Arabidopsis thaliana: one gene and its partners. Each later gene encodes a partner of the first gene's protein in a complex. Each region holds a gene or a part of one and is shown in the gene's direction. Other genes may lie near its edges. The genes, in order: JAL31, BGLU22, GLL22 and BGLU21.

Region 1 (7,240 bases):
TGAGTTTAATTTTGTTTACGTATTTGTTTTAATTTTTCAAAAGTCCACTGTTGGCTGGCTGTTGCTATCTTGGAATGATTTTCATATCTCAATAACTATTGTTTACTCTAAGTTAAATTATTGGGGTGCTATTTATGATGACTGATGAAGTGATGGGAACATGATTGCAATATTAAAATCTCTTTTTTATTTATATTAATTATAAGTTTGTACCCACTTCATTTTAAATAGATAATGCCAAGACGTAGGTATATTATTACTGAATTTATTTTTTAATAATAAGTAAATATGCAGGTTTCAACTAGAAAGGTAACACATCAACAAGAAATACCAAAAACCACTAGCTTACATATTTTGATCATATAAGTATTGAATAATATAGTTATAGATGATCAAATAGTTATTATTAATTACTTAGCTAGTGTAATTTCTATCGATTGTTTCACATTCGCAACAGATAATTATATAAATAAATACATACTACATGTTAACCTTTGTTTTTGTTAAATAGGATGTTTTCTTGATTGATGATCTAGATCAACTTTTAATAATTTATACGTACCAGCTTTCATTCGATCGTGCGACTTCTTGGAATATCCCATGGTACATTTGCAGTCGAGCTAGAAAGCTTTTTTGATAATTTATGAATCATATTAAGCGTCTCTCAATTAGATTAATATTTAGTACCAGTGTAAATGATACAATTATAAATCTTTTTACCAACGAATACAGAATTTGTTTTAGAAATATTCTTCGCAAAATTTTATAATATTTCATAAATCAGTTATAAAAAAAAAAAAAGCAGTTTTGAATTCAGAGGAATTCGTAAATTTCCCTAAGAGTTATTAAAACTAGTTGTGATATTTTGGAGTATTCTTTATGGCTAGATCCATATGATCCGGTTCTTGTATCTAGATTTTTTTTACGGAATATTGTATGATATATCTAGTCTCCTCTTTGGTTCTAAACTTCTAATTAATCTTCGGTGATTTGAATTAAACGTTACTGTTTTTAAATTATGATTAAGGCTTTAAAACATGTTCATACAATAATTACCAAATCTTAACCAATTAGACTCTTAATAAGGAGAACGTATATATATGTTGCAACTTGCAACTTTAGCCCTTTACAAATAATTAATCGTACATAATCTAATTGATAAACGATTCTTTAAATTTTAAAACAATGAATTAGCTTGCTGCCATCGTTTAATGGGCCAACGCCAATATAAAGACGATTAGTTGAGAAGTTGTGCAAGTAGAAGTATATGAATATTTTCATTATCTAAAAAAAAAAATGTATATGAACATGCGTTTTTCCCAGTAATGCTTTTTATATAAATATGCCTCGTGGATCACGAAAGAATAAATTATTATTTCCCTTATTATTTCATCTAGTACGATCAATATCAAGAAGTCAATATAAATAAACATACAATTCACTTTAATTGATCATAGCACCGATAACAATCTACTCTCTTTAAAAGGTCTTATCTCTATTCTTCTCTATTATGTAAAAATTGGTTAATAGTAGATATTAACAATTTATTTTTGCAACTACAGAAATTCGTAAGTACTATCAAGAAGCAGAAGATGGCCCAAAAGGTGGAAGCACAAGGAGGGAAAGGAGCCAACCTATGGGACGATGGATCGACACATGACGCCGTGACCAAGATTCAGCTCGCAGCAGGCATAGACGGAATTCAATATGTTCAGTTTGATTATGTCAAGAACGGACAACCCGAACAAGCTCCTCTTCGTGGTACCAAAGGCCGTGTTCTCCCAGCTGATCCGGTTCCTATATTTTCCTTGCCCATTAATCTTCTTCTTTCTATATGTATACTGTTATATTTTGAAGTTTTGACATTTTCATCTTGATCTATTTCTACAGTTTGTGATTAACCATCCAGACGAACATCTAGTTTCTGTAGAAGGTTGGTATAGCCCTGAAGGTATCATTCAAGGAATTAAGTTCATCTCCAACAAGAAGACTTCTGATGTCATTGGATCCGATGAGGGTACTCACTTCACTCTACAAGTTAAAGACAAGAAGATCATTGGCTTTCATGGGTCTGCCGGGGGCAATCTTAATTCTCTTGGGGCTTACTTTGCTCCGTTGACTACTACAACTCCGTTGACTCCTGCCAAGCAGCTAACGGCATTTGGTAGTGATGACGGAACTGTATGGGATGATGGTGCTTACGTTGGGGTTAAGAAGGTGTACGTTGGACAAGCCCAAGATGGAATCTCAGCTGTTAAGTTTGTGTACGACAAAAGCCCTGAGGAGGTCACAGGAGAAGAACATGGAAAGAGTACTCTACTCGGATTCGAAGAGGTATAATACTTTCTTTGCTCTTTTTGTTGAATGTAAAAATTATACATCAGAGAATTCAAATTCTCTTCCGGTTTCCATCATAATGTATTCAATTGTTTTATTTGGTTTCCAATAACTGCAGTTCGTACTTGACTATCCAAGTGAATACATCACCGCAGTCGATGGCACTTATGATAAAATCTTTGGGAGTGATGGCTCAGTCATAACTATGCTCAGGTTCAAGACTAATAAGCAAACGTCTCCTCCCTTTGGACTTGAAGCTGGCACAGTCTTCGAACTCAAAGAGGAAGGCCACAAGATCGTTGGTTTCCATGGAAGAGCCGATGTTCTGCTCCACAAAATTGGAGTCCATGTTCGTCCTTTATCCAACTGATGATGGAGCTCTTTATCCTTGATTCCATGCATCTAATAAGTTATCAAATCTATCTTCTAAATTTCTCATATGAGGTCTCTTCATGCCTCTGGTGAATGGTGATCTTTGATAAGTGTTTTACGCGTTGTCTCTTGCGATGTTGTTTTTTCTTTGTTCTTCTTGTGCTCTATTTTAATAAAGGAAGTTTGTTCCAATCTGATCTTTAGTTTCCCTATATGTTCTATAATACTTACTTTTGCCATTATTTGGTTCTGATACTAATTTTACTTGCTATAATTCAAACTAAAATCTCAACGTATGAATTGTACAATTTAAAATGCAAATGTTAACTTTTTTGGATCAAATATATAGTTGTTCGTATTTTCTCAGTAAAAAAATCCTGCACAAAGTTTTTATCTAGAATGTGTGACCATATTGAAGTTTTTGGCCTTCTCCAAACATAAAAAGTTATTAGTTAAAAGTATATGAGTTGGCCAAAAAATACGAACCGGTTCTTGTTTCTAGATTGAGCGTTACAGAAAATTGTATTATATATATACTCTTGGTTCTAATTTCTCTTAGGTGATTTCAATTATACTTTTACTGTTTGAAATAATGTACAATGCTGTGGAAACATGTTCTTACAAGACTTATCAAATCGTCAACCAATTAGAGTCCTAAAAAGGGGGTCACTAATTGTAGAATTCTGACTTATATAAATTGCAACTTGCACCCTTTACAAGTAATAACGTATATAATAAAATTGACGACTCTGTGAATTTTAAAAGAACTAATTAGCTTGCTGCCATCGTTTCATTGGCCAACACCAATATAAAGACGATTAGTTGAGAAGCTGTGGAAGTAAAAAAGGAGTATATGAATATTTGAACATGTATTTCTTCCGGTAATGTTTTAAATATGCCTCGTGGATCACGAAATAATAGATTATTATTTCTGCTAGTACGATCAATGATCCTATATGCGGATATATGGTTATATGCAAGAAGTCAATATAAACACCTATGATTCACTTAAATCGATCACAATCTACTCACTTTTGAAGGTCATCTCTCTTTTCCTCTCTATTAGTACAAAATTGGTTAATAATTGAAAATTCACAATTTGTTTTTTTTTCCAATTATAGTAACTATAGTAAGATTGATCAGCAAGCAAAATATGGCTCAAAAGGTTGAAGCAAAAGGAGGGAAAGGAGGCAACCAATGGGACGATGGATCCGATCATGACGCCGTGACCAAGATTCAGGTTGCAGTAGGCGGAATGGGAATTCAATACATTCAGTTCGATTACGTCAAGAACGGACAAACCGAACAAACTCCTCTTCGTGGTATCAAAGGCAGTACCATTCCAACTGATCCGGTTCCTATACATTTTCCTTGCTTATTTGACTTCTTCTAATTTTTATAGAAAATCTATTGTTTTACGTTGAAGTATTGACATATTGAACTTGATCTCTACAGTTTGTGATTAACCATCCTGAGGAGCATCTAGTTTCTATTGAAATTTGGTATAAACCTGATGGTCTTATTCAAGGGCTTAGGTTCATATCCAACAAAAAGACTTCTCGTTTCATTGGATACGATCGTGGTACTAGATCATTTCTCCAAGTTCAAGACAAGAAGATCATTGGCTTTCATGGGTCTGCCGGAGACAATCTTAATTCTCTTGGAGCTTACTTTGCTCCGTTGACTATCCCATTGACTCCTGCCAAGCCGCTACCGGCACTTGGTAGTGATGATGGAACAGCATGGGATGATGGTGCTTACGTTGGGGTTAAGAAGGTGTACGTAGGACAAGCCCAAGATGGTATATCGGCTGTTAAGTTTGTATACGACAAAAGCCCTGAGGAGGTCACAGGAGAAGAACATGGAAAGAGTACTCTACTCGGATTCGAAGAGGTATAATGTTTTCTTTCTCTTTTTTTTTTTGTTGTTGATGAATGTTATATACATATAGCTATATATATGCTTTGATCAGAGAATTCAAATTTTCTTTCGATTTCCATGATGACGTATTCAAGGTTCCAATAACTGCAGTTCGTACTTGACTATCCAAGTGAATACATCATCGCAGTCGAAGGCACCTACGATAAAATCTTTGGGAGTGATGGCTCAGTCATAACTATGCTTAGGTTCAAGACTAATAAGCAAACGTCCCCTCCCTTTGGACTTGAAGCTGGCACTGCCTTCGAACTCAAAGAGGAAGGCCACAAAATCGTTGGCTTCCATGGAAGAGCCGATGCTTTGCTCCACAAAATTGGAGTTCATGTCCGTCCCGTTTCCAACTGACCATGAAGATCTTTATCTTTGATTCCATGGAGATCTTTATCTTTATCTTATAAATTGGTCATTTGAGGTCTCTTCATGCCTCTGGTGACCTCTGATAAGTGTTTTAACTTTTAAGTGTTGTATCTTGTGTTGCCGGTTTTTCTTTGATGTGGTTGTGTTCCATTTTAATTAAGGAAGTTTGTTTCATCTCTTCTAATTTTTATATCCCCAAATGTTCCGATATATATTTCCCATTTGCGTCTGATACTAATTCTCTTACTATAATTAAACAAAAATCTCAATGTACGAATTGTACAATTTAAAACAAAAGTAAATTTTTTTGGATCCAAAATATAGGTGTTTTCTTTTCTCCAAAACAAAAATACCTGCGTAATTTTTTTTATCTAGATTGTGGCCAAAATATAGAAGTTTTCGGCTAAAAAATATTATTAGTTGCAAATAATATGAGTTGGCCAAAAATAAAGAAAATAATAAAAGTATGTAGCCTTCTTGGGTAAAATAATTTAATACTCAACGTGGATCACGAATTATGGATTACTATTATTTAGAATTGTGTTAATTAATTAAATAATGAGGCCTATATGTGGATCTATTCTTGAATATTAATTAGATTCTTTTTTGGTAAAATATCTTTGCTAATTCCAAGAGGTCAATAAATTAACGTACAGCCCACTCGGATGGATCACCACTTATCCTCATCCTTTATATCTCTTATGATACTATATTATAGTAAAATTTGGTTAATAGTTGCAATTAACAATTTGTTTTTTGCAGTTTTAGTAACTCCTAAGAAAAAATGTTTCGTAGTCTAGTGGTTGTTTTATAGATTAGAGTCTTATTGGTGAACGGTTTAAACTTTAGATATTTTTTTTCACTTCACTTCTTACCCCAAAAAAAACTCCAAAGATTGGTAAAAATCAAACAATGATGGCTCAAAAGGTGAACTTGGTAGTGATAAAAGAACTGCATGGGACGATGGTGGCATGGTGCTTACAACAGTGTTAAGGTGTATATATGTCAAGGCCACGATTGTCGATTGTGTGTCCACGGTTAGTTTGAGTATGCCAATGCTTCTCAAGTTGTTGCTGGAGATGAACACGGAAAGAGGTACTTATATATCGCTGCGGCCTAAACGGGCCAAACGCATTTTGAACCCATTTATTTTATAACTTGGTTGGTCGAGATACGGACTTTTTTTTTAATAAGTGACCCGTTTAATCCCACAACTTCCCTAGGCATTGTGGTCTTTGACTATTGTGACTATACTAGTTATTTTATACCTTCTTAAAGTCAGACCGGTTTCCATCGGACAAGATTAAGTTGTTTTGCTTGATTTCATTGTAGTTCGACATTGATTATCCAAGTGAATACATCACCGCTGTCGATGGCACATGCGATTAAATCTTTGGAAGTGACTCTGCGGTCATTATCATATGCTTAGGTTCAAGACTATTATGCGAACATCTAATCCCTTTGGTCTTGAAGCTGGCAAGACTATTATGCCAAAGGGATTAAATCTGATGATGATGGGAGAATCATAATGATCCTTCAGTTCTGACCATAAAACTTTTCGCTCCTCCACGTAGTTTGAAGCATAGACAAAGGAACAGAAAAATTCATCCTGTCGATCTTCTAGCTTCACCGAACAAGTCAGCAATTGACCACTCTTATAAATAGGACTAAGTCGCACATTCTTACGCCATAGAACCCAAATACGACCCCGTCTATTGTGCTCATAATTAGTGAGAAGCGACCAATCCTTGAAAAGCTTACCAACAAGCTGCGAAACCTTACTCTCCTTTACTCTCGTTTCAACCAAGCAACCAAACTTGAAAAAAGATTAGTTATTAGAATTATAATTATCGGTAACCTTGAAATCACCATGAAATTAATTTTCTTGTTATATTCTTATCCTCTTCTTCTTTTTCTTAGCAATTTTTTCTTCATATCCTTTTTTTTATTAGTAGTCTATTGAGAGAAGTTTAATACAACAGTAGAGTAGAATGATATAACATTACTACTTGAAATAGTTGTTTGCGAGCGAATTCATGTTTTGTGAAGAAAATCGTTTTTCAAGTATTTTATTACCCCTAGCGGATTTTTTATAAGAAAACTAAATTTCCGCAATCTGGATCTTGAATAACACGCGTAGACAACACACCACGTCAACGAGTTTCAGGGTCGACGTACACGTCAACTTTAACGTTTTATAGAAGATTTTGAATTAGTATGCTGATCCATTTTTATA
Region 2 (8,723 bases), on another chromosome or scaffold:
TTACAATGAGTTCGCTTTCGACATGCTTATGTCAGGCTGCCCAGTCCTCGAAAGCTTTACGTTATGCAGAAGGTACCTTGACAATGTAAGAGTTTTACGTGTCATCTCTCAATCTCTATTAAGCTTCAACTATTACGGCTCTAGTAGTAAGAGCTTTCGTGATGATCTAGTGGTTATATTGGATGCTCCAAAGCTTGAGAAACTCAAGCTCTCACATCAATTAACTGCAAGTTTCATAATAGAGAATCTGAGTTCCCTTGTAGAGGCGGATATCGATATTGAGTTTAACTTTTGTCGGGGGAAAAAGTTTGATCCGGATGATCTGCCAAAGAGAGAAATGATTCGTAATTTTCTTGTCGGACTCTCTCGTGTCAAAACTATGACAATCGCTGCATGTACTCTTGAGGTATCGTTTGTTGAATTCGTATTTTATTGTTTTACTTTATCATGTATAACTTTATTCTGATACTTTTCTTGTATTTATTTTTGTTGTAGGTCATTTATGATTACTCAAGATGTGAACCACTGCCGTTGTTTCCTAACTTATCTTTCTTCAGTGTTGAATTCTATCAGAAAAGATGGGAAATATTGCCATTCTTTTTTAAGAGCTGCTCGAATTTAAAATCCCTGGTCTTGGTAAGGATTTGTTTACTTAAAACTTATCAACTTTCTTTGGTAACATAATCACTCAAACTTGTTTCGTTCACTTGGGTGTAATATCAGGAATCTGATTACTTTCCAAGGAAGAGAACTAGTATTATATCTGAACCTCGGTGTCTCCTATCATCTCTCGAGTATGTTAAGATAGAATTTGCATTGGACAAGGGGAAGATGGAATTAGTGAGATACTTACTTGAGAACTCACCAATCCTCAAGAAACTCACTTTATCATTGGATCATTCTTCTAGAAAGAAATCTTGTGTCATCCTCAGAGAACTCATTACAATTCCAAGATGCTCGACCTCTTGCCGAGTCATCGTTCTCTGATCCTCGTTGAAGAACATACAAGGTTTGCCTTTCTGTACTTTTATTAATGTGAACTCTGTGGTTTCCTTCTCTATTATGGTGACTTTGTTGTGTAGTAGATCTGTAAGAAGATCATATGTTTGTCTTAAATGTTTCAATTGAACCAAAAATGTAATAAGGTTCGTGTAAGAACCAAGGATTCAAATTTTCAGAAACTCTTTATTTATGTGAACTATTTGCTTTCTTCTTCATTGTGGTGACTTTGAATGTCTTGTAGATCTTAAGAGATCTTATGTTTGGCCTAAATGTGTAATGCTGTTACTTCTTTTGACTCAAAGACATGTTTTTGCTCATTAGTAATTCAGACTTCGAGTAGAAAAATAGATAATGGATTACAAAAACGAAAAATAAAATAAAGATGCTTCAAATTTAACCTAAAATAGTATTAGATCTTTGTAAGACACTAAGACCCAAGGATTAAACATTCTAGGAACTAAATTATAATTAAACTCTTGGAAAATTAAGATCTATTTGTTTAGGAGCTTTTAAGATATACATGTCTAGGCTTTAATGAGCTTTACGACCGAAGAAAATTAGAGAGCTTGTGATTTTGATCATGATCTGAGTGAGTCTCAAAAACTAAAAGGAGGACAATAAGGAAGATTCGGATTGAATTCTTTAAACTAGTTAACTAGGTTAATTGTTTTATGGGCCTGTTATGTTAAGTTAATAATTTTTGGGGCCTTTTATCTTCAACATATAAAGGGCTCTTCTATTGTTTTTTTCCAACTCCAACAACTAAAATACAAACAAATTTTGGACCTTTTAATTTGTGGACCGTAGCAGATGCCCATGTTTCCATGGGTGAGAGACGGACCTGAGGTGGTCGCAACTCGCAACCGACGTTCAGAGGGAGAAGCGGAGGTGGTGGTGGAAGCAAAGAGAGTTAGATGATGGCTGTGGTGAGGACTATGTAAAGTGTAAACATGTGTCACTTATCTTTGCTTATTTTACAGTTGGAGGAAATGCCGAAATTGTATGTACCAAGAAAATATACATGTATCTGTTTTTATACTTGTTTTAATGTCTACAGTGTTCGATAAAGATACCCTGATCAACTTCATAATGTAACAAAAATGAAGTCATGTATCACCGTAGTGGAGTTAGGTTTGATGAATTTTAAAAATAAAACTAATTCAACTAGCTTAAAATTAATTATCGCCAAATAAGTACCAAACGTAGCCCGGGCTAAACCTTAGTATTTTAAATATGCTAAAAATCTATTTACAGATAGATGGTGCATCGCCATCAAGTAGCAAAATAAGCGTCAGCGCAATACTATCAACGAAAAAAGATGGTATGTTAAAAAAAGGTTTCTAGCTACTACATATTCGATTTAAATATTTATCAAAGTAATAATAATCTACAATGTGATTTACTGATCATAATGCGTGGAAGGTGGAACCTATTATATTGTTAATACTTAACAATATTATCAAAGTACAATAATGTGATTGCTGATGCATCGTGACGTAAAACAAGAACACCTTCAAAGTCAAACACCAAGAGAGATTGTCGTTACATGTGTTTTTAATGATATATAAGGAAGCTTCATTATTTTGGAGTTATACAACGACTTTCATTCAGTCACATTTAATATATATTTGTTGCTTAATCGTGACACATGTCGAATTTATTTTATTTTTTAGTATTTAATAGTTTTATATTTAATTGGAAGTTTCCATTTCCTTGACTACGCCATAAAGATACACAAAGACTCTTAACTGATCCAGATCATTGAAGTAACCAAGGGTAAGTAATTGAACTGGCCATAGTTAGTAAAAGATTGTACCAACCGTTTCTTCATTCTTAGGAGAGCAAAAAAAACTAGTCGCAGTGTATTCTTCTTCTATGACGACTAGACGAGAGTAGTGAGTCGCAATGTGCTTTGGTAGGGCATCAGCTAAGAGGAATACACATATTTTTAAGTTGCTTTCTTCCAAGGTACAATATTTGACATATATATGGACTTGTAAACTTACCAGATTTTCTGATCATGTAAATAGTAGCTTTCAATGTCCTCGATCACAAAGGCCATGAAGTGTAGCATTTTGAGAAATGGTCATTCCAAATCTAAATGGACTTTCTCATTGAGTTGTTTGAAAGAAAAATAATCAATTACACCACCAATTGATCGACCAAGAAAAATGTTTGGTGAATAATAGTTACCCCAATTTGTGTTTTTTTGGGCAAAAAAGTTGCCCCACATTTATATTTTAATTTTGATGCCTAAATTTCGTTGATCTTAATTAGGCTTTACCGCACTGTCCTGACAGCAGTCAGCATGCGACTAGAATGTGACCAATTGTTTGTCCGAAACCGAAGATTACTCATTCCAAACTCCCAGTCTAATTGGAGGTTGTGTCTTGATATCTAATAACTTGTTTGATAACCATTATAAGGTCTTTTGCTTAGGTTTTACGGTCCATAAGTTACCAATGTATCCTATGATCAGGACGACTACTACAGGTTCAAGATTTTGAAGATATAGGTCATACACTAGATTTTCTTATTTATAATTGTATAGTTTAGCTTAGTCACCCGGGATCTCTCATCGAATGAATCATCCTATTTAAATAATAGTCAAGCGGAAACCAATAATGAAAGATTATATTAAGTTATGAAAACGTCAATAATAATCATGATTAAGATAAGATCGAAAACACCATTTGGATGATTAGATCTATCTATATAGTAAAATAAAATAAACATTATCAACGAGGCCTGGTTGTGGCATATTAAAAACAAGACATTAATGAGAGATCAGTATCGCTATAAAAAACGACACTAACATATAAATGAACCATCCTAAAATTGTTTTCTTAATCAAGACAAAAGAAAAAAAAGAAAACTAAAAACCAAAATGTCATTGCAAAAGTTTCTCATGGGGACACGTTGCTCCTAACCACCATCGTATACAATAGTTAAATAATTGTATACTATCTTAGTGGGATAAGTAAATGAAAGTTTATTCAATAAATATTAATATCTTAAACGTCAATAATACCTAAAGTAAGATCCAAAAACTCGATCTGGATCATTACTATAGAAAATTAAAGAAAATGATTAACGAGGCCTTGTTGGCATATCTTTTTCTTTTCTTGTAAAACAGATCTGGTTGCATATTTGAAAGTAGACATTAAATGAGAGATCCGTTGATTATGGAAGATTAAATGTTAATATTGTTGCTCGTTAAACACGAGAAATATTATTAAGACGAAGGTGCAACAATAGATGAAGACTTCAGTTATAGGACATACACGATTTTTTTTTTTTTTTGATAGGATACACTATTTATTTAAAGGCACGTTTTTATTATATGTTCCACGCGTAATATAATATGTTCCAAACTTTGAAAAATAAGTAAGAACACACCTATATATAAAATAAATTTATTAAACAAATATAGTTTAGTGACTTATTTGTCATTACCAAACAATCAAAATCACTATATAATTAAGAACTCTGTTTAGATGTAAACAAATCATCACAAACTTGTTCTCTTCCAAAAGACCAAAAATTAGAAACCATGGCATTGCAAAAGTTCCCTCTCCTGGGGCTTCTTTTTCTCATAACCATTGTCGTCTCTTCGACAATAGCCGTCGATGATCCTGTGTGCCCAACGACGTCCAAACTAAGCCGAGCAAGTTTCCCTAATGGGTTTGTGTTTGGCACAGCTACTGCTGCGTTTCAGGTAAACTGTGAGACATCAAAATGAATTATTTACTACACTATACTTCAAAAATATGTATTAGTGTTGTGTCTCCATCAAAATTCAAGCCTAAGTCCAAATGCTGAATTCAAACATATGTTATTACCTCAACTCATCAGCTATTTTCGTTATGTCATTAGGTTGAAGGTGCAATTAATGAAACTTGTCGTGGACCTGCTCTATGGGATATCTTCTGTAAGAGAAATCCAGGTGAGTGTATAATCTATATTTTCTATACAATATCTTTAGATATCTAAATTCATTCACTTTTTATTTTTAAATTACAGAGAGATGTAGTGGCCACAACGCCGATGTGGCCGTTGATTTCTTCCATCGTTATAAGGTAAATATATATATGTATTTTGAATCTAAATTTAAAGTATATTCAAAAGAAAAAAAACATCTTTACAATAAAGTGCCTCTTGTTTGAAAAGAATTTTGAGAAAATTAACTCAGAGGATGCTTACAAAACTTTGAAATGGTTAGACCCTTGAGAGGAGCCACACTGTATATATAATATATTAATATAAAGTTGAGGTATATATTAATATAAATTTAAGGTATATATTAATATAATTTTAAGACAAATATAACTTATATTTTATACTTTTAGTTTGCTGATATTATACGAGATATTATTGAAAATTTGTCTCGTCTTAAAAATGTTTGTAGGAAGATATTCAACTAATGAAGAATCTAAACACAGACGCATTCAGACTCTCAATCGCATGGTCAAGAATATTTCCTCGTGAGTATATGTCTGCAGATCTCTAGTTTGATTTAGTAATCGAATTTGGTGAATTGATATATAAATCAATAACTAATGAATTTTACATTTATTGACTAATCAAACAAACTAACGGGTTTTTAGATGGGAGAAAGGAGAAGGGAGTGAGTCAAGCTGGTGTGAAATTCTACCACGACCTGATCGATGAGCTCCTTAAAAATGGTTATATACATATAAACTAATTAATTAAAAAAGACAAGAAATATAGTATCATTATTTAACATTTCTATCTATTTTTACATTGTAACTAGGTATAATTCCGTTTGTGACTGTTTTCCATTGGGACACTCCACAAGATTTAGAAGACGAATATGGCGGTTTCTTAAGCGAGAACATTGTGTATGTTTTTGTAAATTGAAACAAAATACATCTAATTAAATTTTATATGGAAATTATTAGTTTAATATCATTTTTTGCAAAAATACAGGAAAGATTTCCGAGAATATGCAGATTATGTTTTCACTGAATACGGTGGAAAAGTGAAAAACTGGATCACTTTCAACGAGCCATGGGTCTTCGCTCATGCAGGTTACGACGTAGGCAAGAAGGCGCCAGGACGTTGTTCTCGCTACCTTAAAGGTTGTGAAGACCGAGATGGACGATCAGGTTATGAGGCTTATCTAGTTAGTCACAACCTCCTCAACGCTCATGCAGAAGCTGTTGAAGTTTTCCGCCAAAAGGTAATTTACATTAGATATATATATCAAAATTAACTATCAGGTTTTGGATATGAATATAATTTGTTTTGTGTTGTGTTAATGGACATTTTGTAGGTTAAAGGTGGGAAAATTGGAATCGCACATAGTCCGGCTTGGTTCGAACCACATGATCTTAAAGATTCAAATGACGTTCCAACTGTTAGCCGTGTACTTGACTTTATGTTGGGATGGTAGGTATATACTTTGATAAAATGGGGTCTTGTATACAATTTCATATAATTGATGGAGTTTTGATTATTATTTGTAGGCATCTAGACCCAACTACTTTTGGAGATTATCCACAAATCATGAAAGACCTTCTTGGTCACAGATTGCCCAAATTCACTTCTTCACAAAAAGCAAAATTGAAAGATTCGACCGATTTCGTAGGGCTTAACTACTATACTTCAACATTTTCAAACCATAATGAAAAGCCAGATCCGTCTACACCAAGTTGGAAGCAAGATTCTCTTGTTGCTTGGGAACGTAAGTTTTTTTTTCCTTACATGAAACCAAACCAAGAAACTAAGAGAAAATGTTTTCTTTATAATACTAATTGATATGTATACATTTTCACTTTTAAATTTCAGCTAAGAATGTAGATCACAGCGCCATTGGTAGCCAGGTATGCGTTAAACTAAACTAGTCCTAGTTTGAGATTGTTTTAACAACTAAACAATTAAAATATTTCTCTCAACGACATAACATCTATCACCATTGTTTTATTTTCAGCCTCTTACCGCTGCATTGCCCGTCTACGCTAAAGGTTTTAGAAGTCTTTTAAAGTACATCAAAGATAAATACGCAAACCCGGAAATTATGATCATGGAAAATGGTAACTCGAGATTTATGGTTACTGTGTGTTGATTTAGTTTGGAGTTAAAATATATATTCATCTTAATGTTGTTGTTTTTCTAGGATATGGAGATAAACTTAAGGACAAAGATTCGGTTGAGGTTGGTACTGCTGATTATAACAGGAAATACTATCTTCAGAGGCATCTTCTAGCTATGAACGAAGCTATTTGGTAACCGTTTACTATTTATTTATTTAGAGAACAATTCTATGGAATGATCTAATCAAGAAAATTTGTGTATGTGCAGCATTGACAAAGTGAGAGTTACGGGATACTTTGTATGGTCATTATTAGATAACTTTGAATGGCAAGATGGTTATAATAACAGATTCGGACTCTATTACGTCGATTTCAAAAATAACCTCACACGTTATGAGAAAGAATCAGCCAAGTACTACAAAGATTTCCTCGGTCAAGGTGTTCGTCCATCCGCGCTCAAGAAGGATGAGCTTTAAGTTATATTTTGAGGATTTGGTTTTCTGTTCAATGCTTCTTTCCTATGTTTTAGTTTGTGATTGATCATGATTCATGAAGTCTTGGTTAATAATAATAAAAGTGTTTTGTATTCCTTCAGTTTCTAGCTTATTTGACATGATCAAGAATGCTTTAGTATAAATATATTATCCTTATATGAAGGTATCTTTACCTTCAAAACATGAAGAAATATTGTATTATATATATTAAAAAAAGTCTTAAATTTACAAAAGGACTGATGTTTTTAAATATGAAGTAAAAATATCATAGTTTTTAAAATATTGAAAATACGAATTTACCTCTATTTAAAGAAATAGATTATGCAATAACTAGACGTCGTCTTAACAACTAAATCGTGCAAATATTTTAATGACTAATAACTTCAACAACTTAAACCGCTTGGCGATGAAATAAAACAATGGAAATAGTTTAACATTTTTAGAAAATCACCATGATTTGAGATCGGATAAGATGTCACACCGTAGCTACAAGTTTGAGATTAATCTTTCCAAACAATTTAGATAAAATCAAGTTACATAATTTGATATCGGATAAGATAAGACAATGTACATAAAAATGAACACAACATAATATCAGCAAGATGGTTCTAATATAACAGATTGGGATTCTACTACGTCAATTTTAAAAATAATCTCAATGTTATGAGAAACAATCAGCCAGGTATTACAAAGATTTCTTTGGTCAAGGTTTTAAGGCCCTGTTCGTTTCTACATTTGATAGATCCATCCAACTGATCCATTCAACATGTCTATTTGGATGATTTATTTAACTCTTGTTCGTTTCATTTTTAGTCGGTTCATTTGACTGGACCATCCGAATGAGATGTTCGTTTGCTTATCTCTATCTCCATCCAAATGATTTGTAATAATACAAATACCTAAACTACCCATGCTTTCATCTAATTATATTTTTTATTATTACTTGTAAACATGTTAATTTTAATTCTTAATCTAAAATATATTTAAAAGTAAATAAATTTCAAATAATAGTTTTTTACATTTATAAATTTATTTTACGGTTTTGGCGGGAAAACGTGGTTTTACAGTTTTGATGGGAAAACTCGATTTTACGGTTTTGGCGAAAAACAAAATTTTACGGTTTTGGCGGAAAAACGTGATTTTACGTTTTTGACTAGAAAACGTGATTTTA
Region 3 (7,925 bases), on another chromosome or scaffold:
AAACATAAAACATGCAAAATGATATTTTTTATCATTTAAAACGTTAGTACAAATGACGAGTGTTGGATATTAGTTAATTACTAAAAATAACGGTTAAAATATTTTAAAAATAAAAAAGGTTCAGCTGGTATTCACTTTTCGAAACACATGGATTTTTTTTTGATTTTTTTTCGTTAACAGATTCGGAGATTATATTTGTATTATATGAAAACCTAATATATTTAATGTACAAAATGCAGCTAAATTCATGAGGATTCCGATCGTGATCCCGCCGGCCCTTCAACCGAACGTCAATGTCTCACGTGGAGCTAGTTTCGCCGTCGCTGATGCTACTCTACTCGGAGCTCCGGTGGAATCTGTAAGTCAACTTAATTTCTTACTATAATCATCTTATTCAAAATAAATGAACCATGTCTGTCTTTTATTGACCCGGTCATACATAGCCGGTCCTTAATTTACCTTCAGGTGGCCTTAGCACAATTGGAAGATGGCCTTCTTAATGATATAAAATATATTAAAGGTTTTACCAAATTACTGTTTTTATTTTTTTTGGCGAATGATTTAGTATATATCTTCTGGTCTAAAGCATGTGCTTGACCTGTCTTATGGACTAGCCTGGATCATACTAAACGGCATATTTTTGTTTTATTAAAGACATCTGACTTTAACTGCAATTATAATTTTGTCTTTTTGTCTTTTTTTGTTTTTTTAGTTGACTCTGAATCAACAAGTGAGAAAGTTCAATCAAATGAAAGCAGCAAATTGGAATGATGATTTCGTGAAGAAGTCAGTGTTTATGATATACATTGGTGCAAACGATTACTTGAATTTCACCAAGAACAACCCTAACGCCGATGCATCTACTCAACAAGCTTTTGTCACTTCCGTGACCAACAAGTTAAAGAACGATATCAGCTTGTTGTATTCATCAGGAGCGAGTAAATTTGTGATCCAAACCCTAGCTCCATTGGGTTGCTTACCCATCGTCAGACAAGAGTTCAACACCGGGATGGATCAATGCTATGAGAAACTCAACGATTTGGCTAAACAACACAACGAAAAAATTGGACCGATGTTGAACGAATTGGCTAGAACAGCTCCTGCATCAGCTCCTTTCCAATTCACCGTCTTTGATTTCTACAACGCGATTCTTACTAGGACGCAGAGGAACCAAAACTTCCGTGAGTTGGTTAATTATCATGGTTTAATTTCATTTTTAAATTTTTTTATAACTTCTAATACCATGTGTTTAATATTTGCCATTCTTAGGATTTTTCGTTACGAACGCATCGTGCTGCGGAGTTGGGACACATGATGCTTATGGTTGCGGTTTTCCTAACGTACATTCGAGGCTATGCGAGTACCAACGGTCTTACCTATTCTTCGACGGACGTCACAACACTGAGAAGGCGCAAGAGATGTTTGGTCATCTTCTTTTTGGAGCCGATACAAATGTTATCCAACCGATGAACATCCGTGAGCTTGTCGTTTACCCTGCCGATGAACCTATGCGTGAGTCTTGGGTGCCCCCAACGTCAGCCACCGTTCAACTCAGGGAGAGCCGCGGTTACGAGTATTACTGAGTCTCTAAAATCAATATTTAGGGATCGATCGGGGTTTCTATAAGGGTTATGAGTCAAATTATAACTGGATCAATATCGGAATCTTGAGTAGTTTTAATTTCCAATGTTTTCATGTTTCTCTAGTGAGTTTTCCTCCATAATAAAAGATTGATCTCTGCAACTCTTACCCCTTGCAAATCTTTTATTTAAAAGAAACAAAACTTTTACATAAATTTATTTCTTTTTTTTGTCAACCACATATTAAAAGGTAATTCCATAATTAAAAAAAGAAGGCACAAGAAGCGTTTTCTCATCATCTTATCTTTTGGAGCGGACCCAAATGTTATCCAACCTATGAATGTTCGTGAGCTCATTGTGTATCCTGTTAATGAGCCTATGCGTGAGTTTTGGGAGGATCCAATGGATGAGAATATCATCGTTAGTCCATGACGTCGACGTCGATGCTAGTGAATCTATCTAACTCGTTTAGTTCTTGAGCTCACTATTTTCCATCTCTATACCATGAACGAGCTCTTGGAATTTGAAATGCGCTGTTATTAATTTGTTGAGATTTAAAATAATAATGTAACCTCAACTCTGTTTTTTCCATAAGAAAAATCTCAATGAGTAACGTGATAAACCTGACAATATGAACCAAAGCGTGTCCAATGACCTGCTTTGTGCTCAGATTAGACAAGTTTCGGGCCACATGCACTCCATTAGAACAAAATGATAAATTTTGGTGGAATCAATTTAAGAAGGTAGTGGATTCAATTTGAGACCTTTTTTACCCTCTTTTTTTGTTTGCAATTATTCTTGCAAGGTAATATTCGAAATGATTGGCAACAAAGAAAATAAAAAGTAGAAATTATAAAGTTCCAGAAAAGATAAGTTTATACATCTGGCTTTGGGGCCGGCTATATTTACAGTTAATTTTCATATGAAATAAAACCAAAAATCATATATATAGATAATAGATGAACCAAACAAATGAGGCGTTCTTCATATAAAACTTCATCTTCACGTAAGCAAATGTGTTTTATTTTTATCTAGTTTCTGCACTCTTTTAGAAACAAAATTGTTCACCTTTCTGTCGTTCTAATGATTCCAATCAAATTGATAATTACTAGAACTTACAAACGAATAAGGACCAACTCTTCTGTATTTGATATAGACACTCTCTCAAAACTTAATCTTCTCTAATCTTCACTGTAAATCTTAAGGAACAACTCTCCACAAGTTTTTATAATTTATATATACATAACTAAGCTATTACCTATACTATTAAGATTGTGTCAACGCAAAATTGAGTTATTCTTTCTTATTTAAATTTGAACTATTAAAAATATGTAAATAATTAACGAAAATCTTTGTCAAAACACTATTAAGAAAATAATTTCAAAAATTAACATGATGATAAAATATAGATTGTTAATTGTTTTTTTTAATTGTTTTCAAGTAATTTAATCAATAATATGATGAGGATGATTAAGGAAATTACTATAATTTATCTTTTAAAGAATATCTTAGCATAGGTATGAGTTGTTTTTGCAAAATTTTAATAATTGATTTAAGTTATCTAAACGTTATTAAAATTATTATCCAAATTATCTATAATTATCCGAACATATTCGTCTCTTGTCTATTCTGGTAGTGATATTTTATGTATCTATATTATTCATATATCGTATCAGTATAATCTGACTTATTTAAAAATATCTATTTGATATGTATTTTGATATTAAAAATATTTTAATTCGAGTTGTGTACTCGTAAATTATCCAAAAGTTTTAGCAGAAATAAACATATCTACGTATATGTTGGTGTTGAAATTTTTTTGTTGAATTTGGCTAGTCAGCAAAATTTAGTTTTATGCAAATGGTTACTGCAGAAATTACTGAATCTGGTTTAGTGTTACCATTTACACCCTATATTTCCGTGAAATTTGTATGTTTAATTCTACTTCTTGCCTCTAAATGCACGATCTTTTCAGCACTTCGAAGAGGTTAAAGTGACTTTTACCCGATGAGAAGGGAATTGTGTGGCAGATAGAATTGCTAGGGAATCTCTTTCTTTTCTGAATTATGATCCCAAATTGTATTCTATATTGCCGGATTGGGTTAAAGCTTATGTGTATTCAGACTCTTGTGTAATTGTAAGTTGTTGTTGAACCAAAAAAAAAAAAGCACGATCTTTCTTGGTACTCGTAGTAACAATAGATATTTTGTTGAGAATTAAAAATAAAGTAGAAGAGAAACCAGTAATGCGTCAGACGTGATTAAGCGAACTATATAATATAATTGATCGATAATCGTTTGCTAGTGCGTTAAATAGGTGTATAGTAAAATGAACCTCGCGCTACACGTTATTATTTGTATAGTAAAATGAACTATTATTTTCATTGCCAAATTGTAGTACTTGCAATATAAATATAACGAATCGGTCTACGAGCTAAGGCACAAAAGCAATCTTCTTCTCTTTTCACAGTTCTGTTTCTCCCTCTCTCTAAATGATGGCAAACAACTGTAATTTAGTCAGTGTTCTATGTGTAATTTTGGTATTGACCCTCTTTCACAACCCCATCACTGTCGCCGGACAGAATAGTCCGGTGGTCGCCTTGTTCACCTTTGGTGACTCCAACTTCGACGCCGGAAACAAACAGACTCTCACCAAAACCTTAGTCGCTCAAGGTTTCTGGCCGTACGGAAAATCTCGAGATGATCCCAACGGCAAATTCTCCGACGGCCTCATCACTCCGGACTTCCTCGGTACGACTTCTTTTCTAATCGAATCCTACTCTAATCTTTAAAACATTAAGTATGTTAAAAATAGTATGATTACGTAAAAATAATCATAAACAGTAGTATTTATAAATGCATTTTAAGTATGCTACTAGTGAATTACTTAAAAAATAGTAAATAGTATGATTAAAAAAAAGATTATAAATGCATTGGTTCAGCGGCTATTCACTTTTCGGGACACATTCTATGAAATTTTATTTATTATTTTCGTCAACAGATTCGGAGATGTAGTACAAGGAATGATTTGATATTATATGAAAAACTAAAATATTTTTAAAATACAAAATGCAGCTAAATTCATGAAGATTCCGCTCGCGATCGCGCCGGCGCTTCAACCGAACGTCAATGTCTCACGTGGAGCTAGTTTCGCCGTCGAAGGTGCTACTCTACTCGGAGCTCCGGTGGAATCTGTAAGTAAACTTAATTTCTTATTATATAAGAGTCATGTATATATCTATAGTCAACACCTAATTCAAAGAAAATCAATTATATCTGTCTATTATTGACCCGGTCATACTAAGCGGGATTCTTTTTGTTTTACTTCACAGAAAAGCATGTGACTTAATATCAATAAGCTTTACTTTAATTGCACTTATAATATTGGTTTAATTTTTGTCTTTTTCTCTTTTTTGGTTCTTTAGATGACTCTGAATCAACAAGTGAAAAAATTCAATCAAATGAAAGCAGCAAATTGGAACGATGATTTCGTGGCAAAGTCAGTATTTATGATATACATTGGTGCAAACGATTACTTAAATTTCACCAAGAACAACCCTACCGCTGATGCATCTGCTCAACAAGCTTTTGTTACTTCCGTGACCAACAAGTTAAAGAACGATATTAGCGCGTTGTATTCATCAGGAGCGAGTAAATTCGTGATCCAAACCTTAGCTCCATTGGGTTGCTTACCCATCGTCAGACAAGAATACAACACCGGGATGGATCAATGCTATGAGAAACTCAACGATTTGGCTAAACAACACAACGAAAAAATTGGACCGATGTTGAACGAAATGGCTAGAAACTCTCCTGCATCAGCTCCTTTCCAATTCACCGTCTTTGATTTCTACAATGCCGTTCTTACTAGGACGCAGAGGAACCAAAACTTCCGTGAGTTGGTTAATTATCATGGTTTAATTTCATTTGTTTTAGTTTTATAACTTCTAATACCAAGTCATTAATATTTGTCATTCTTAGGGTTTTTCGTCACGAACGCATCGTGCTGCGGAGTTGGATCTCACGATGCTTATGGTTGCGGTTTACCTAACGTGCATTCGAAGCTATGTGAGTACCAACGGTCTTTCCTATTCTTCGACGGACGTCACAACTCCGAGAAGGCGCAAGAAATGTTTGCCCATCTTCTTTTTGGAGCCGATACAAATGTTGTCCAACCGATGAACGTCCGTGAGCTTACTGTTTACCCAGTCGATGAACCCATGCGTGAATTTTGGGTGCCTCCAACGCCAGCTACTGTCCACGCCAGCGACTCTAGCTCGTCCACTAGCCGCGGTTACGAGTATTACTGAGTCTTTTTAAAACTCAATCTTTAGGGTCAATCAGGTTTTCTACAATGGTCATGAGTTAATTTATAACCGAATCAAAATCGGAATCTTGATGTTTTTGATTTGCAATGTTTTCCTGTTTCTCTAGTGAGTTTTTCTCTATAATAAAAGATTGATCTTATCAACTCTTTCCACGTCCTGGAATTTATCGAGAGTTCATTAGTCTATCGATTTACTCTAATCTATTCGATATCTTATATTCCTTCTGTTCATTTTTGTTTGATTTTTTAGAAAAAACATAAATATTAAGAAAATATATTAAATGTTGCTTTTAAATGTATTGTTTTTTGTGATTTACAATTTTCAATAACTCTAAACCAATGATATTTACTAATTTGTATTGAAGTTTACAATTTATCAATTATAACTAATAACTATTGTATTAAAAATCTAAAAAATCAATATTTTTGAAATAATTTTTTTTCTAAACAATTAAACAAAAAGAAACAGAGTAAGTATAAATTATGTAAAAATATATGACTGATTCGTTTTATGACACCGAATTAAAATAATAAGCTAATTCCTTTTGGTTTCTTTTGACCCAACAATAAGCTAATTATAATTATAAAACGAATATGATAAAGTATCTTTTACCAGCTGGGAAAATATAATACTCCCAAACTGAAAATAAATATCATTACCAGTTGGGATTATTTTATTACAGTAAATACATATAGTGGGCATTAGTGATCTGATTTTGTGGATCATAAGCGACAGGAAAATAAAAATATAATAAGACCAAACAAATCTCATCCGCTAAATCTGGTCATAAGTTTAAGTATTTTTTTTCTATTTAAATAAGAAAAAAATGACGCTAAATCTGGACATAAGTTAAAACATACAAATTGAAATAGTATAATTTAAAAATCTCAATAATTGAAGCAACACACCGATCTTGACTTTATCTCTCCTTTATCTACGTTCAATGTTGATAATTAATTCCATAAAATAGTAGTAAAACGATTTGGATCCATCACATGATAAATATAGTAGATCCGTCTAATATGGTAACATTTTATTTGTCGTATATAATTGAAAAACTCAACTGTTTATATTACTATTCAACACGTTGGTGACTGCCGAAGTTTCTGGTTCACACTACAGTCTCACACATCAACACATATGAGGTCATGTACTTTCCAAATTGCAGTTTATACAATATGTAGAGAAAAAAATATGAGAAGACATGAGGAACAACTTTCAACAGCGACTAACCTCATCAAGGATATCGATCGAACAGTCCGATCTAAAGACTCACGGTAAAGGCAAGTTTGATGATGCTTTGTGTAACTGGTTTGCCACAAGACGTCTCTAATATTTCAAAATACAAACTGTTTTCCTAATTAAAATTTAAGCTCAACATTTAAATTTAAACAAATTATTGCATAATGTAAACAAAGTTGTTTTTGGTGAATCAAATTTACATTCGTACAAAAAAATTAACAATCGTCGTAGGGTTATTAATGGTTTTTCTCGCGCTGGCGGCTAATCTTCCCGTGCAAGAAAGGTCAACGCAAATAAGCCCTAATAATAAGGTTTCTGCTACGACATGCTTGTTTCTTGTGTCTATCTAATTGTCTTTGTACCTTAGTATTTCATCAAGTTTATTTACTTTCACCATAGAATTGTTCTCCTTTCCACACAAAAAAACTAATCGATTTTATTATTATCCTAACTCAAAAAATTACATGACTAACATTATTAGACAATATATAGTGACCTCGTCAGTTATTTTCATATACATACATATAGGCGATTTTTATGTAAGCCTAAGTTCAAATAAAGCTTTGAGATTATAAGGTCTAGTGACATTAGGCGGCCCGTTCCAAATCAGCTCTGCGATTTGTCGATGAGCCTTTTCCGTCAAATGAGAGGAATCATAGAACAAATAATCGGTAACGTTTTCGCATAGGCCGTAACCTTGCGACGGTCCTATTCTGTTTCCACACGTATTGATTCCTCTCAGTGGTCCGCTTCCACAACATGCCTTCTTCCCTTCC
Region 4 (8,715 bases), on another chromosome or scaffold:
TTTTAAAAATAGTTGTAAAATAAGATTTAAGTCTATTTGTTTTTTTATCGAAAAAATACATATAAATAATCAATTGAAATAATTAAGGTATTTTTGTTATTTGTTATTTTTGACTGGATCATCTCCATCCAAATGATCCAATTAAATTCAGCCAAATAAGTTTCAAAATTTAGCTTAAATTTTCAAAGTCATCCAGATGATTTATTTGGATAGATCATCTGAATGAACCGTTTTTGGCACCAAACGAACATCAAAACTCATCTCTATCTAGATGATCCATCTGACTGATGAAACGAACACGGCCTAAGTCCATCCGCGATAAAGAGGGATGAGCTTTAAGTTATATTTTGAGGATTTTTATTTCTGTTCAATAAAAAAAACAACTCAACGTTTATGCATGATGAATATTATACGTTCAAGATTTAGAAAAATAAAAAACAACTCAACGTTTATATATCGTGCAATGAAATCATCCAATTTAAAATATTTAATAATAGTCCTTCTGTATAACAACCACTAGTGTTCTTGTGGAATTTTTATTTTGTTTCAAAAAAAAACATGTTATTTTAAATTTCCAATTTTACTTTTCAAATAAACTTCCACGTTTATTCTTTAATTTATTCATATTTTTGTTTTAAATTTAACACTCACTCTGATTCATTATATAGGATATTTCAGAGATTTATTTAGGATGTTTTACTAATATCAATGCAATTTTTAAATATATTTTATTTGATTATTTGACTATTGGTTTGTATTTTGTATTTTTAATATCAAGAGAACAAATTTTATAATTAAAAATAAATTTCTTAAAGTGTGTGTTTTAATCTAAAACATCATATAATTTGAAATAGAGGAAATATCATCTAATAAAGTAATGGTATATTTGTATAGTTAATGATTTGTCTTTTTATTCGCGCAAAATGTGTCAATTATAAAATATAAAGAGGATATAATTTAGTTTAGAGTTTTAGACACGAGGACTATATATTGGAAAACAAAAAAGTAATGTAAACCATATAGATCATGGAATGAGTCATCCTATTAAACAGTTGTATTATATATTTATATTTTAGTCACTAACACATTAATAACTTAACGTCCATAACAAAATAAGATCCAAAACTCGATCTAGATCTATACGAGGCACTAAATGATCCATTGACTTAGGGCCGGCCGATTGGTTCGAGGACTCCTCATGCTGTAAACTTTTTTTTTGGACATACATGATATATTTTTAAGTCACGTTTTTATATTATATGTTCCACGCCCAATATAATATGTTCCAAACTAGGAAAAATAAGTAAGAATTAGTCAATGATCGAGATAATGCAATGAATCATCCTATTTATTAAATAGATTTACTAAACTATATATAATACAATGATCGAGATCGTGCCATGAAGCATCCTATATACTATAAAAATAGTCTTACTAAATACATACTCATATAGTTTAGTCATTCATTAGTCCAAACATTAAATGAGAGATCCTTTACTTGCTACCTGAATTTTTTCAGAATAAGGTATAACTTTTTTTCGAATTAGAAACTGATTTATGAAAGATTAAGAGTAATGTTCGTTAAACAAGTTAAAAAATATGTTTTTACAATTAAGTTTTGAAAAATAATAAAGTCTCCAATTATTTGAGTATCAAAAATAGGCTTGTTATTATTTAGGGTTTTCGTTGGTTTAAATGCAACGGGGTGTGGTTGTCATTGTGGAAGTTAATGGAAGTAATTGGTTGAGGTTTTAAACGTTATCGGACATTTTAAATGACTGGTTTACAGTTAAAAATATGTGTATTTACGGCAATTTTATGATTGGCTTAGCAGTAGATGCGACAGTGGTTTAAACCAAAAATTACCAAATAAATAATATACAATTATTAAATTATATAAAACACCAATATTATATATTTATATATATATGAACATAGTTAATTATCGAAACCATAGACAAAGTACATAAGAGTTATTCCGAAAAAGGTTTATTATGAAACACAAATAATCATATTGGGAGATTATGATATCCAAAATGGACTAATCAAATAATTAAATCCAAAATGGATGAAGAACTTATATTAGTTCCACGCACAATATAATATGTTCCAAACTAAGTAAGAACACAACGGTCGAGGTCATGCAATGAATCATCCTATATATAAAATAGTTTTACTAAACAATTATATTTTAGTCACTCGTTAACAAACAATCAAAATCGCTATATAAAGAACTCCGATTGGATGTAAACAAATCATCATAAACTTGTTCTCTTCCAGAAGAAACTAAAAACAAAAATGGCATTGCAAAAGTTTCCTCTCATGGGGCTGCTTTTGCTCCTAACCATCCTCGTCTCTGTGACAACAGCGGTTGATGATCCTGTTTGCCCGGCGACTTCCAAGCTAAGCCGAGCAAGTTTCCCTAATGGGTTTTTGTTTGGCACGGCTACTGCTGCGTTTCAGGTACAACAGATTTACTAAATCATAGTTCAAAAAACAAAAAGTAGTGTCGTTATTGTGTTTCTATCTGAATTCAAATCCATATTTTTAAAATATGGTTTTTTTTTATGTAAAAGTTGCTCAAAATATGTTATACCTATCATTTGAAATCATTTGTGCATGTGATATTCCTCAACTCATCAACTATTTTTTGTTATGTCATTAGGTCGAAGGTGCAATTAATGAAACTTGTCGTGGACCGGCTCTATGGGATATCTACTGTAGAAGAAATCCAGGTGAGTGTACTCGTATAATCTACATTCTCAATACAGTATGTTTAAATATTAAATTAAATTTAACTAATTAATATCAATACATAGCCATTAATTTTCTTAATTACTTTCAAATTACAGAGAGATGTAGTGGCGACCACGCCGATGTGGCCGTTGATTTCTTCCATCGTTATAAGGTATATATTAATATAAATTTAAGACAAACATAACTTATATTCTCGAGATGTTATTGAAATTTTGCCTTGTCTTAAAAATGTTTGTAGGAAGATATTCAGCTAATGAAGAATCTAAACACAGATGCATTCAGACTCTCAATCGCATGGTCAAGAATATTTCCTCGTGAGTATATGTCTGCAGATCTCTAGTTTGATTTTGTTTTAATCGAATTTGGTGAAATTAGATTTATGTGATTGTTATATAATACTAATAACCAATGAATTTAGATGATGTATATGTGAATGTTGAAGTATCAATAACTAATGAAACAAACTGTAATGCTTTATTAGATGGGAGAAAGGAGAAGGGAGTGAGTCAAGCTGGTGTGCAATTCTACCACGAGCTCATCGATGAACTCCTTAAAAATGGTTATATACATATAAAATACCTAGTTCACAAAAATACAAGTAATATAGTATCCTTATTTAACATTTCTTTCTATTTTACGTCATAAATAGGTATAGTTCCGTTTGTGACTGTTTTCCATTGGGACACTCCACAAGATTTGGAAGACGAATATGGCGGTTTCTTAAGCCAAAACATTGTGTATGTTTTTGTAAATTAAACAAAATACATTTAGTTAAGTTTATATGGAAATTATTAATTTGGTATCTTTTTTTTTTGCAAAAATACAGGAAAGATTTTCGAGAATATGCAGATTATGTTTTCACTGAATACGGTGGAAAAGTGAAAAACTGGATCACTTTCAACGAGCCATGGGTCTTTGCTCACGCAGGTTACGACTTAGGAAAGAAAGCACCAGGACGTTGTTCTCGCTACGTTCCAGGTTGCGAAGACCGAGAGGGACAATCTGGTAAAGAGGCTTATCTAGTCAGTCACAATCTCCTCAACGCTCACGCAGAAGCTGTTGAAGTTTTCCGCCAAAAGGTAGTTTACATTAGATATAAATCATAATTAATTATCAGGTCACATTAGATATAAATCACAATTAATTATCAGGTTTCGAATCTTAAAATAGGTTGTTTTGTGTTGTGTTTATGGACATAGGTTAAAGGTGGGAAAATCGGAATCGCACATAGTCCGGCTTGGTTCGAACCACATGATCTTAAAGATTCAAATGACGCTCCAACTGTTAGCCGTGTACTTGACTTTATGTTGGGATGGTAAGTATATATTATGTTAGAAAATGGTTTCTCGTATATAATTTCATAAAAATTAATGTAGTTATTAATTTTGTGTAGGCATCTGGAGCCAACTACTTCGGGAGATTATCCACAAATCATGAAAGACCTTCTTGGTTACAGATTGCCTCAATTTACTGCTGCACAAAAAGCAAAATTGAAAGATTCGACCGATTTCGTAGGGCTTAACTACTATACTTCGACATTTTCAAATTATAATGAGAAGCCAGATCCGTCTAAACCAAGTTGGAAGCAAGATTCTCTTGTTTCCTGGGAACGTAAGTTTTTTTTTGTTTTCCGTACATGAAACCAAACCAAGAAACTAAAGATAAAAGGTTTTATAATACTAATTGATATGCATACATTTTCACTTTTTATTTTTCAGCTAAGAATGTAGATCACAGCGCCATTGGTAGCATGGTAAGCGTTTGATTAAACTAGTCCTAGTTTGTGATTGTTAATTTTTGTCTACGACATAACATTTTCACCATTGCTTTATTTCAGCCTCTTACTGCTGCATTGCCCGTCTACGCTAAAGGATTTAGAAAGCTTTTAAAGTACATCAAGGACAAATACGCAAACCCGGAGATTATGATAATGGAAAATGGTAACTCGAGATTTATTGTTATATTTGTGTGTTGATTTAATCTTAACTCTTAAGAGTAATATACTGATCATTATAATGTTGTTTTTTCTAGGATATGGAGATAAACTTGGGACCACAGATTCGGTTGACGTTGGTACTGCTGATCATAACAGGAAATATTATCTTCAGAGGCATCTTCTGGCTATGAACGAGGCTATTTGGTAAGCCTTTTATTATTTGATAGATTGACTAACGATTCTATTGAATGGTCTAATTAAGAACATAATTGTGTTTGTGCAGCATCGATAAGGTGAGAGTTACGGGATACTTTGTATGGTCATTGTTGGATAACTTCGAATGGCAAGATGGTTACAAAAACAGATTCGGACTCTATTACGTCGATTTCAAAAATAACCTCACACGTTATGAGAAAGAATCAGCCAAGTATTACAAAGATTTCCTCGCTCAAGGTGTTCGTCCATCCGCACTCAAGAGGGATGAGCTTTAAGTTATATTTTGAGGATTTCGTTTTCTATTCGATGTTTTTCCTATGTTTTAGTTTGTGATTGACCACGCACGATTCATGAGTCGTGGTTAATAATAATAAAAGTGTTTCGTTTTCCTTCAATCTCTAGCTTATTCGACAAGATCAAGAAGGCTTTAGTTTTAATGACGTTATCCTTTTTGAGAATCAATATGTGAAGTTAAATATGTTTTACCTTCCAAACTTGAAGAAAAATTGAATCATACAACCTTAACATTAAAAAATTTATGAGTTACAAAATGATGTAAGAAAATATCATTAGTTTTAGAAAATTAAAAATACGAATTTACCTCTATACATAGAAATAGATTAGGAAATAATTTGACGTCGTCTTAACAACTAAGTACAAACATTTCAAAAACTAACAACTTAAACGTTGGCGATGAAATAAACAATGGCAATTCATTTTCCCAAACAGTTCTAATATTTTATTTTTGAAAGTCACTAGTTTAGATTAAAAAACAGGACGACCAGCAAGAGAAGATATCTCTTTTTCACTCATTTGGCCAAGCGTATTTTCTATATACCTTAAGGAAATAAAATCCATGCATGATGCAACCAAATAAATCCACCATGCAATACCAACATCATTCATTACTTTGGAAATTCATATTTCATTCTTAGCAAGCAAAAAAAAACAAAAAAAAACAATCAAACGTATGTGTTAATAATGAAATCATCACATTCTATCTTACTAGTAGTCACTTATCAAAAACGATTTATGTAAATAGTGATTTTCAAGATTTTTTTTTTAAAAGCAAAAAATTTAAAGGCCAACTCACTTTCAGACTGTTTCTTTTGTAAAATTGAGAATTCTTGGAGCATCTCCTATCAGTACTGTAGCTGATTCATTACTTATTTTCGTGCTTTTGATATGTGAGTGAGTGAACTAGAGTCGTAGATTGATAGCTTTGAAGCTGAGTTGGAAGGATTGTCTGTCAAAAAAGGAAAGACAAGACCTACCAAATTGGTAAGATTTGAAATATATGCATATACTGTAATTTATGCTCTGTAGTGAGTCATGTCTTTTGGTTTGTTTTTCTCTTTAACACTCATCTTTAGACATCTATTACAAGGCACAAGGATCACATAATAAAATTGGAACTGATCTTGAGCCACAAAGGATCATATACACTTTCTTTTAAAGAACCCTACTTGGAGAACCTACCATGGAAAGATAACAAAATTAATAAATCTTTCCAAAAAAAAATAAAACAAAAAAATAGTGAGAGTCTATAGAAGGTTCTCACCACTGGACATAATCTTAAACTGCATATGCAAATATAGGTTTGATCAAGATTTGTTTTTCAGGAGTACCAAAAAGGTTCCGTAGGAATGATAGATTGATAGATTCTTACATATACACAATAAAAAAAAAAAAAAAAAATTGTAGTATCAACATATCAATTAGAAAAACAACTGGGGCATTTTTGATATCTTCGAAAAGTATAATCCTTATCTTATAAACTATTTTTAACTAAACGCGGAAACGCATAGCTGGCAATCTTCCCTTACGGTTTTTTGGTAATTGTCTACTTTTGATAAGAGACGCAAAACGCCCCCCCTAAATCGAGAAAAGTTACATAATTACCCTGCTGACCTAGTCCTATATAAAAAAAGATACCTTCTCCTCTCCATTAACCAGTAATCTCAATCACAAACTATTTCCCCCCCTTCGTTCATCAAATCCTCAAGAGAAAAAAAAAATCCCCAAAAGCTTCCTCAAAACCCTAACACAGATCTCTCGATCTTCTCCGATCTGTCTTTTCTCCTAATCTGGTAACGTTTCGATTCTCGATTCATCTGGTTTCGCGTATAATGTTTCCGATTGATTTCACTTTTTCGATTACGAATCTAGATCTAGGGCTTTGATCTATGTTTCTGAGATGCGATTACGAGTTTCCGTCTAAAATTTTGCAGTGATTCGTGTTTTCTCGATATCGCTTATGAGAATTGTTTTCTAGGTTTTAGGAATCTATTGGTTCATATGTTCCGATAATCAGATCTTTGAATTCGAGCAGTGGATATGATTCACCGTCCTTGATTTGTGTATTTGAGCTTGAATTTTATAATTATTGCTTGATCTCCTTCGATTTTGATGGCGTGTGTTGTCATTGTGTTGGTGGTAGCTAATTGTAATTTTCTAAACTCCAATTTGTTCAGGTTTAGTTTGATTTTATTGGATTGAAGATGTCAGACGCTTTGAATATGACTCTTGATGAAATTGTGAAGAAGAGTAAGAGTGAAAGGTCTGCAGCTGCAAGGTCTGGAGGTAAAGGAGTTTCCCGTAAGAGTGGACGTGGACGTGGTGGACCTAATGGTGTTGTAGGAGGTGGAAGAGGAGGTGGACCTGTTCGTAGAGGTCCTCTTGCTGTTAATACTCGGCCATCATCATCCTTCTCCATAAACAAGGCAAGCTCGAAATCTTGATTGGAACTCTGTGCCACCAAATACCGAAGCATGCTAAAACTTAAGATGGATGATCTTTTAATGCTCTTTTGTCCTTGGAGAAGAATCATACATGCATATACCGTTACTTCTGATGATGATTCAGATTACAAGAATCTTCTAACATCTTCTTAGAAAAGCTTCTTTCCTGCAATTAGTGGTTTTTATGGTTAAAATCTGGGAACTTCAAGAGGCATGAATAGATGTGCAGAAGTTTTCGGTTGATATTGTCACTCGCTATAGGTTTATTGAGGAGCTCCTTTAAGCTAAGTAGTCCACATAGGGTTATCTACAGGGGGATAAAGCCTGAAAATGTGTGTGGTTTTAGGGGGAATTTCAGAAATTTTAACAGTAAATAGGATTTATGATGGGTTATCAAAGTGGGGGTATTTGCACTATGCATGAAGTTCACGATGGTACATCTGGAATTTCTTCGGAGTGTGACGGCAGTCTCAGTTTTCGTTTTTGGCTTCAGAGACTGACTGATAACACCAGTATGATTCATATGAAGTTAGTCAAATTTACTTGTTTCCCTACGTTTCATTTGGTATCTCCTTGGATGGTTCTTGACTACTTCTTCCTGGAGCTCTTTGCTTTAGTACTTTCAGCCAAATGGGTGTTTTCTCCTCTTTCAAGAAATTTGTTGATTAATGTGGCTTCAAGATTCTACAGACCCTTTTAGCTGACTTGATATGTTCTACTGGATCAGCTTGCCCGCAGGAAGAGGAGCTTGCCATGGCAGAATCAGAATGATTTGTATGAAGAAACCCTTAGAGCTGTTGGGGTATCAGGAGTGGAAGTCGGAACCACAGTTTATATTACCAACCTTGATCAGGGAGTGACAAATGAAGATATAAGGGTATAGCCTGACATCTATGTTCCAGTGCTTCTGTTGTTTTGGTTCTGTGGAGTTTTCTGAAATTGGTTTGTACTATCATATGGAATCTAGGAACTCTATGCTGAAATTGGAGAGCTGAAAAGATATGCAATTCACTATGACAAAAATGGGCGTCCAAGTGTAAGTTCTGTTTTCTTTTTGCTATGGTT

The links.
Region 2: JAL31 (region 1) and BGLU22 share a complex: the UniProt entries of both Arabidopsis thaliana proteins name them as parts of the PYK10 complex.
Region 3: JAL31 (region 1) and GLL22 share a complex: the UniProt entries of both Arabidopsis thaliana proteins name them as parts of the PYK10 complex.
Region 4: JAL31 (region 1) and BGLU21 share a complex: the UniProt entries of both Arabidopsis thaliana proteins name them as parts of the PYK10 complex.

Annotation. Positions count from the first base shown.
Region 1 is NC_003074.8:5,577,968-5,585,207, forward strand, and holds JAL31 (jacalin-related lectin 31), read left to right. Parts: upstream 1-3,600; 5' UTR 3,601-3,749; exon of another isoform or gene 3,750-3,830; 5' UTR 3,831-3,862; coding exon 3,863-4,063; intron 4,064-4,164; coding exon 4,165-4,602; intron 4,603-4,740; coding exon 4,741-4,992; 3' UTR 4,993-5,220; downstream 5,221-7,240. Other genes in the region: PBP1 (PYK10-binding protein 1), read left to right, coding at 1,593-1,793, 1,891-2,334, 2,456-2,707; AT3G16432 (uncharacterized protein), read left to right, coding at 5,976-6,161. UniProt on the Arabidopsis thaliana protein: Polymerizer-type lectin that may facilitate the correct polymerization of BGLU23/PYK10 upon tissue damage. Activates BGLU21, BGLU22 and BGLU23.
Region 2 is NC_003070.9:24,705,570-24,714,292, reverse strand, and holds BGLU22 (Glycosyl hydrolase superfamily protein), read left to right. Parts: upstream 1-4,296; 5' UTR 4,297-4,555; coding exon 4,556-4,720; intron 4,721-4,878; coding exon 4,879-4,948; intron 4,949-5,025; coding exon 5,026-5,081; intron 5,082-5,410; coding exon 5,411-5,486; intron 5,487-5,609; coding exon 5,610-5,687; intron 5,688-5,776; coding exon 5,777-5,864; intron 5,865-5,952; coding exon 5,953-6,205; intron 6,206-6,298; coding exon 6,299-6,414; intron 6,415-6,491; coding exon 6,492-6,709; intron 6,710-6,813; coding exon 6,814-6,848; intron 6,849-6,955; coding exon 6,956-7,058; intron 7,059-7,141; coding exon 7,142-7,250; intron 7,251-7,326; coding exon 7,327-7,534; 3' UTR 7,535-7,781; downstream 7,782-8,723. Other genes in the region: AT1G66290 (F-box/RNI-like superfamily protein), read left to right, coding at 1-406, 496-636, 724-987. UniProt on the Arabidopsis thaliana protein: Beta-D-glucosidase active on scopolin >> esculin >> 4-MU-glucoside. No activity with DIMBOA-glucoside, pNP-glucoside, oNP-glucoside and sinigrin as substrates.
Region 3 is NC_003070.9:20,152,512-20,160,436, reverse strand, and holds GLL22 (GDSL-like Lipase/Acylhydrolase superfamily protein), read left to right. Parts: upstream 1-3,916; 5' UTR 3,917-4,071; coding exon 4,072-4,330; intron 4,331-4,654; coding exon 4,655-4,773; intron 4,774-5,004; coding exon 5,005-5,473; intron 5,474-5,560; coding exon 5,561-5,889; 3' UTR 5,890-6,283; downstream 6,284-7,925. Other genes in the region: AT1G54010 (GDSL-like Lipase/Acylhydrolase superfamily protein), read left to right, coding at 240-358, 713-1,181, 1,270-1,583; GLIP3 (GDSL-motif lipase 3), read right to left, coding at 7,685-7,925.
Region 4 is NC_003070.9:24,696,579-24,705,293, reverse strand, and holds BGLU21 (Glycosyl hydrolase superfamily protein), read left to right. Parts: upstream 1-2,127; 5' UTR 2,128-2,298; coding exon 2,299-2,463; intron 2,464-2,665; coding exon 2,666-2,735; intron 2,736-2,852; coding exon 2,853-2,908; intron 2,909-2,995; coding exon 2,996-3,071; intron 3,072-3,238; coding exon 3,239-3,316; intron 3,317-3,406; coding exon 3,407-3,494; intron 3,495-3,583; coding exon 3,584-3,836; intron 3,837-3,956; coding exon 3,957-4,072; intron 4,073-4,150; coding exon 4,151-4,368; intron 4,369-4,475; coding exon 4,476-4,510; intron 4,511-4,594; coding exon 4,595-4,697; intron 4,698-4,788; coding exon 4,789-4,897; intron 4,898-4,976; coding exon 4,977-5,184; 3' UTR 5,185-5,426; downstream 5,427-8,715. Other genes in the region: AT1G66260 (RNA-binding (RRM/RBD/RNP motifs) family protein), read left to right, coding at 7,411-7,632, 8,378-8,527, 8,618-8,686. UniProt on the Arabidopsis thaliana protein: Beta-D-glucosidase active on scopolin >> esculin >> 4-MU-glucoside > DIMBOA-glucoside. No activity with pNP-glucoside, oNP-glucoside and sinigrin as substrates.